Astyanax mexicanus: one gene and its partner. The protein of the gene in region 1 purifies or fractionates together with the protein of each later gene. This does not show direct contact. Links are inferred from orthologs where the notes say so. Each region holds a gene or a part of one and is shown in the gene's direction. Other genes may lie near its edges. The genes, in order: cand1 and dcun1d3.

What was found.
Region 2: the proteins of cand1 (region 1) and dcun1d3 purify together in Homo sapiens (affinity purification with western blotting; 3 studies listed by BioGRID, with this or other methods). This does not show direct contact. The link is inferred for Astyanax mexicanus from reciprocal best matches to the Homo sapiens genes CAND1 and DCUN1D3.

What each region holds. Positions count from the first base shown.
Region 1 is NC_064409.1:11,545,139-11,549,063, forward strand, and holds the start of cand1 (cullin-associated NEDD8-dissociated protein 1), read left to right. Parts: upstream 1-993; 5' UTR 994-1,247; coding exon 1,248-1,315; intron 1,316-3,925. UniProt on the Homo sapiens protein: Key assembly factor of SCF (SKP1-CUL1-F-box protein) E3 ubiquitin ligase complexes that promotes the exchange of the substrate-recognition F-box subunit in SCF complexes, thereby playing a key role in the cellular repertoire of SCF complexes.
Region 2 is NC_064413.1:56,192,500-56,196,424, reverse strand, and holds the start of dcun1d3 (DCN1-like protein 3), read left to right. Parts: upstream 1-1,553; 5' UTR 1,554-1,955; intron 1,956-3,925. UniProt on the Homo sapiens protein: Contributes to the neddylation of all cullins by transferring NEDD8 from N-terminally acetylated NEDD8-conjugating E2s enzyme to different cullin C-terminal domain-RBX complexes and may play a role in the cell cycle progression by regulating the SCF ubiquitin E3 ligase complex, after UV damage.

The sequences.
Region 1 (3,925 bases):
ATAAAATCCAACCGAGATTAAATGGTTCGTCTAAGATGATAACTAATAAAATAAAATGCACACAGACAAAGGAGTGGAGGGAAAAACAGCCAGCAAACTTACCGAAAAAACTGCAAAGAACTTTGTCCAGAATGTCTGTTAGAGCAATTAACAGCAGAACACGACATTAATAATACAGCTATCTAAATTCAGTTTAGCTAATAAAAAATAATAATGGTAGTTAGCTAGCTAAACGTTTGACTAACTACTAGTACTAGTCTACTGCTTGACGTAAGGGGAAAAAAGAACATGATGCAGGTTCGGTCTGTTATTGGTCCCGCCCATACAGTCATTGGTCCCACCCCAGCTAGGTGTAACCCAGCCCTTTTTACAATAACCACACCTTTTTAAATAGAGCTGAATAACGCTTTAAAAAACGAATTCTGTGGGAATATAAAACAAATTGACAATATAAGCAGAGGTTACACCAGCTGTTGCATTTAAATAAAGGTGGAAGAATTACAGTATATTAGAAAAAAACGTGATTGAAAGTTGTCTGTTTTGCCATTGAAACCTATGGGGGTGGGTGGGGTTATACAGCTTTCTGCAGCCGAACAGCAGGGGGCGCCCGACCTGTGGTGGCTTCACTTTTGAGAGACGATGTTCTGTCCAGCTATACACAGTCTATGATCTGAACCGACTCACTGCGCTGTGATGCTACTCAGTAATGCTAACTTCACATATAATAGAGGAGGCATGTGCCAGTCTTTACCCCCCTGTTGTTGGGGCATCACTAGTGATAGGGAATTGTTGGGTAATTGGACGTGTAAATTAGGGAGAAAATGGGAATAAATTAGAACTAAAAATGATACTAAATAAAACTGTTAGCTGTGTTGTCGCTGAACCTCTCCAAACTCTGTAATCTTTATTCCTGCGTTGCGATTGGCCAGTTTAGCTGTCGGTGAAGGCGAGGCCCCGCCCACAGAGATCTCTCTCAACTTTGCCCTCTCCGTCTGGAGCCGCAGCTCCTCCCTCTTGCAGAGCGAAGCAGGACCTCCATTCAAACCTCCAAACTCAGGGGGATGCAAGTGTAACTCCGCCGCCCTGCTAGAGCCGCACAGAGACTGCAGAGAGCGTGGAGAACCGGCTTTGTGTCGCAGCGCTGCAGCTACGCGAGAAAGTGGAGGGGGAGGATAACTAGTGATTGTGGCCGCGATACTCACAAGTGGTTGCTACCAGCGAGCTGCTCCAACTGACTGACTGCAAATATGGCGAGCGCCTCATACCACATCTCTAATCTCCTGGAAAAAATGACTTCCAGCGATAAGGATTTCAGGTGAGCCATGCTCCCGAATACCGCCGCTGCGGTGTGAAGTTCGGGTATATGTGTGGTTGTTAGAGCTGCAGCGCGTGTGGGCCGTGTTTTCGTTCTGAAATGGGGATCGTGCACTGAGTTTGGAGCTGGGTAGGCTAAGCTAACGATAGCTAGCCTAGCTTGGTTAGCTTAGCTTGCTAGTTAGCTAGGCCGCAGATCCGCCGCTGTTGTGTTTAGCGCACCAGCCAGTTAGTCGACAAGTTATAAGATAGCTAAAGACAGTTGGAACGTCTTATTTTTGCTTTTAAATCAACCTTATGGAGTTAATTCGCTGTAAGTGGGGATTTGTGCTAACAGTAAGCTAGCTAGCTTGCTAACTAACTCGCTAACAATGTAAGCAAGCTAGCTCCTCAGGTTAGCGCGCTAAACGGCTGATTTTGCCAGTTACGTTAGCTAGCACTATTAGCAAACATTAGGGCGCTATGAGCTCTTCTAGAGCAGGCTGGTGCGGAGGGAGGCTGCGCTGGCTTGCTAACTTAACTATGAAACAGATAATCACCGTTTTATTGCACAGTAACAGTTGTTTGGATGATAGTCAACGTTATATTTTGAACAAATCTACTAACATGAGATGTAGATGTAGGTTAGCTGACTAATTTAACAAAGCTGGCTAGCTAGTGTGGCCTGTCACAAAGTTGACTTGTCATCTTGTCTTGTCATTAACTCGTTGGCTAATCTATTTAGCTAATAGAATAGTCGTGTTTTCTCTGTCAACACTAAGGTTATTAAGTTATCACCAGGAGTTTAGTCTGTGGGGCAACAATGTATGTTAACTAGTTAGTTAGCTATCTAGGTAATTTAGATGTTTAGCATGCTGGTGCCATTATTATTGTAACCAGTGGAAGTTGACTCACGTTGTGTTTTTATAGTAAGTGGCTGCAGGTGCAAAACTATGCAGCTCACATAAGTTGACAATTGCTCGAATCTAAATTAAATCTACTTAACATTTACTAAACTTGAGCAAAAAGTAATATTATACTGTAACGTTAGAGAAATAATTTTAAGGGACTTTCTGAAAACGTGTGAAGTAGCTAATAATGTAAAAATATAAGCGTTTCTCACATAACATTCCAATCTAGACCAATGCTAAAATTTATCAAAGCGTTAAAAGTAGCATTGCTAACACAAAAATTAAAATACGTTAACACCAATTCACCGACGTTACCAGAACGTTTAAAAACGTTAAATAAAACGGTCTAAGAATAGTAACGCTAACCATCTATTTCATGTATAAAAGTTTTTGGTAATAAAAACTAACAATGCTTTTTGCTTTGAAAACATTTCCTTCATAGTTGAAACATCCTGGCTTTTCAGGAAAATTAAACAAAACACATCATTTAACTTATAAAAACAGTTTTCAGTCAGATAGGTTTAAATTTATGGATCAGACATTTTTGTTTTAATGTGTTCATAACATAAAATTTCAACACTTCAAGTTTAAAACCTACATTAAAAATATTATCCATCAAATATTTCACGTTTAACCAATGTCAAGTAAGTTCAGTACAAATCTACAAAATTTAGTCACAATAAGTACATTATTGAAAAAATTGGACATCACCATAATAATATATGATGATCCTGATTTCGCCTATTGTGTTTGTCAATGTTGACAATAATTAATAATGACGACATTGTTTATTGCAGCATTGTAAATGAGTGTTAAATTGAGGTACAATTTACTATTAACTTACTATGGATAGAGATGAGAGAACTGTGGTGCACGCTCTTGTTGTTTTGGAGTTGAGGGTTGGTTGTTTGCAAGCTATTGCTTCAAAGAGTGAAATTGTTAGTTTTCCTCACTGATAATGCTATTTCCACACCACACTAACTTTTTACGCTGCAATCTCCTAATGTTGTTTGCATAATTCACCAAGATACAATACTCCAATGTCTTGATTTGATGTGTTCGTGTCTCAATATGTTGCAGGCAACAGTTTTAACCCATCCTGGAGTATGCTCCATAAAACTTGTTTTGATGTATCTAACTTGAAGATATTAGCAACAATTCTGTAGATTGAGAGGTTGGACATTCTTGAGTCTGTTTGTTGTGCTATGTCTGATCACTTTTGGTAGGTAGCAACCACAGCATGCCAGGATCGCTCATTATTCAAGTTGTTTTGGAGATGCTGTGACCCATTCATATAGTCATCGCTATTTGTCCCTTGGTCAAAGTGTTTAAGATTCTTACGCTTGCCCATTTTTTCAAGAACCAACTGCGCACTTGCTACCTAATACAGTATACAGTATCCCACCCATTCGCCGTTGCAGCAAGATAATCAGTTAATTTACTTTTCAGAGATTTAAGGTCATGACATCACTCTGTTGCAATTTAGAATAAGAAAGTGCCAGCAGATGAGCCAAACATTCCATTTTCCCATTTTCGGTTTGTTGGAGAATTCAACGTTTTAAAGATGCTTAATCAAATATGTTGTCCCTCATATGCTCATGTGCACTTGATTTGTCTTTATTTTTAGATAAAGATGAAGTGATTACCTCAGAAAGAGGGAAGTCTAAGAGGGAGTTTGATTTGTACATTTTGTGCAGTGTCTTTAGTATTAAAAACTGTAC
Region 2 (3,925 bases), on another chromosome or scaffold:
GGCGTGGATCTGTTTTTCTCTGTAAAGCTGCTTTATGACAACCTTTGTTGTAAAAAGCGCTATAGAAATAAATTGAATTGAATAACGGGTTCTTACATGAAATTCCAACACAGATGGAAGCAGCTGCGCTTCTCTTCGTCTCCCCTCACTGTGCCCCGCCCCTCTCCCATATGCCCCGCCCTCCACAGACACAACGCCGATAGATAGATAGATAGATAGATAGATAGATAGATAGATAGATAGATAGATAGATAGATAGATAGATAGATAGATAGATAGATAGATAGATAGATATTTATGCCGAGAGAAGTTTAGGAAAGAACAAGCAAGGGACTGGAGATAGGGGGCACCCAATTTACTGACTATCTATAGCCAATCAAAAGCAAGGTTTAAATTCGAAATAGTATCTTCAATATCTCAACATTTTAAGCTCCATGGACCAGTGACAGAATAAAAAAACATATCACATTTCAAAAAAAAAAAAAAATAAAATTAAAATAAAATACATTTATTTGCAGAATCCCAGGCAGATCCAATCCAGATATTGGGGTTGATCCAGTCCCAGCTATAAAGTAGATCCATTCCATGTTTTGAAGCAGATCCAGTCCTTATTTTGAAGCAGATCAAGTCCAGGTACTAAAGCAGATTCAGTCCTAGTTTTGAAGCAGACCCATTTCTTGTATTGTGGCTTCCCCAGTCCTGATATTAAAGCAGATCTGGCCCTGGTATTGAAGCAGCTCCAGCCTTGATATTGAAGCAGATCCAGTCCGTGTATTGTGGCTAATCCAGTCCATGTTTTGAAGCAGGTCAAGTTTTGGTTTTGAAGATAAGATAAGATAAGATACTTTTATTGTCATTGCACAGTGTACAACGAAATTTAGCAGCAATCCTTATGGTGCCTGAACAAAAATAAAAGAAAACAAAATAATAACAGCTCTATGTACAAATACACAAATTTACACACATTTACAGTGGATGTATGAAAATATAGGCAATATAGTAACAATTTACCCAATAATAAATACAGAAAGTGCACAGTGCGTTGTAAGTCCAGCTATTAAGGTTTGTACGTTTAATTTTTTAGTTCCTTGGTAGTGGTCTGAGAGTGTGCGTGCATTTTGCAGTGTTCAGTTCTCGTACAGTACTATGGTAAAAACTGTTTTTCAGTCTTCAGAAGCAAATCCAGTCCAGGTTTGTGGCTAATCCAGTTCAGGTTTGTAGGAAGATCTGGTCCTGGTATTGAAGCAGAGCAAGTCCATATTTTGAAGCAGATTCATTCCTTGTATTGTGGCTAATCCAGTCCATGATTTGAAGCAGACACAGTCATGTTTTTTAAGCAGATCCGGTAATTGAAGTAGATCCAGTCCATGTTTTGAAGCTGATCAAGTCCTGGTATTAAAGCAGATCCAGTATTGGGTTTGAAGCAGATCGAGTCCAGATTTTGAAGCAGGTCAAGTTTTGGTTTTGAAAGAAATCCAGTCCAGGTTTTGTGACTGATCCAGTCCATATTTTGAAGCAGAACCAGTCCATGTTTTAAAGCATACCCCTTCCTTGTATTGAGGCTAATCCAGTCCGCGGTGTTAAACCAGACGCAGTCCGTGTTTTTAAGCAGATTCAGTCCGGGTTTTGCGGCGGATCCGCTCAGGCTGTACAGGACGTGACGGAGGGAAAATTCCCATAATGTTCAGTGATTGAGTAAAGATCAGCAGAAGAGGAACACAAAGAGAAAAACACTCTCACACACGCACAAACCCCGTATCTCCCTCACCCAGCACCGCACTCACACCGGGACCCCCCGGAGCCGCGCTGCGGGCTGCCGGCCGGGCCCTCGCCCCTCGCTGGAGCTGTAGAGCCGGGCTGAGAGCAGGAGCGCACGGGGGCTGGAGCTGCTGGATGTGGAAGTGTCGGACCCGCGGCGGCGGCGACCTGCCCCGATCCCCCCGCTTACTGCCCAGGTGAGTCTCTGAACCCGCCCCCTGACTCCACTACACCCCACACACCTGAACTCCGCTCACCTGAACTCAGCTACACCCCGAACACCTGAGATCCACACTCCTCAACTCCTCCGCGCTCCGAGAAACAGGGCGAAGCAGCGTTTAGCACCCCAGCTAATTAGCCCGATGCTAAAGCTAACGGAAAAGTGAACGGGATTTGCGCTGAATTGGGCCAGCAGCGGGCACACTGAGCTAGCTTAGTTAGCCTGTTAGCTTAGTAAAGCTAAATAAGACTTTGTCAGCTCTGTCAGCGCCGCAGAAAAGTATAAACGATCTAATAAACTAAATAAACAGAAGAGTAAAGTAGATGAAAGCCTGATTTTGTAGGTAAAGTCCTGTTTATTTAGTTTACTTTAGTTTAAATACAGTAACAACACAGCTTAGCCTGGTTAGCTTATGTAGGCTGTAGTAGAGTTATGGAGCTAGCTTTAGCTTTAGCTACTTCTGCTAAATCCCTGTACCAACTACAGTAAAAGTCATTTGATCATTTAACAACATTTATATATAAGCATCATAAACCACAAACCCCATAAAATATATAATATATATATAAAGTTCACTGTAGCTGTTTAAGTAAGTCTAGTATGTAAGTTAATTTACCTCCGTTAAACCCATAAAGCTATATATATATATATATATATATATATATATATATATATATATATATATATATATATATATATATATTAGTAGTGTCAGTGGATTAAAACATTTAATCAGAATAATCACAACAATATTCTGTGATAAACTGCGATTAATCACAATTTTCATTCTTAAGACAGGGTTTTATAGTGGCCATTTAAATGTAATTTAAAGAATGAATGTAAGAAAAGTAAAATGTGAATATATTAATATTAATTAATCTAAATAATAGTTTCTACTTGTATGTTTGAGGGGAGATAAAGCCGTAACGTGAGGCGCTGGAATAAAGAATGAATGATAAATAGGATATAGGAAACATTTTTTTTACTTTGTTGTGAACATCTCAGCTTGGTTGTAAGGATTTCTGAATTAGAACTTGGTATAAAAGAGCGTTTTTACACCTGTAGTTATGAAAGTTTCTAAAATCCGGATCAGTTGATAAGTTTATTTATTTGGCACCAAAATGCGCATCAATAAACTACACAAACACATCAGAGTCTCCTCTGATTGTCAGAGCTGTCTGGAGCAGGAGTACGAAAGTAAATATAGTGAGAAGATTCTGTGTTCCACTGTGTATATCTGTATATCTGTGCAGTGTAAAGCCGCTTTAATATAGAACGCTGAGAATTTGCAGCTGCGCTTTTAAACACAGTGTTTTCAATGGGACATGCAGCACAGATATGAGCAGTGAATGCATGTAAACAGCATGGAGCAGCAGAGACAGCGTTCATTCATAGCAGTATATTATCTGGCTAATATATCAGAATAAACTGCTGTGTGTGTGTTTGTGTGTGTTTGTGTGTGTGTGTGTGTGTGTGTGTGTGTGTGTGTGTTCAATTGAAGGTGCTGGTCAGTGCTCAGGTACAGACATATACCAATATAAAGTATAGAATTTAATTTAAATTCATGTCATATCAGACAAGACATTGTTTGACACTAATAGAAACCATATATCATTGCTGTCATGTCAAAACCTTGTATCTACAAAAATACATTTTTACAGGATTAGAGAGAATAAGACTGTCCCTAACACTGAGACTGAAGTTCTTGGGGAATAGAATAGAAGAATAGAAATTCTTCAAAATTTCATAAAATAAACACTCTTTATATCGACTAAAGGAAGCTTTTAAAAAGGTTTTATCTCTCTTCTGTAAAGTAGCCGTTTTAGAAATACATGTTTTTCATTGGGCAGCGATGATACGTTAAAATGTTTTATTTAGGAAGGAAAATAAACCTTTGAATAGAATAAAGGACAGAGTCCAAAATTAATGAGTTTATATTAAAGTTAG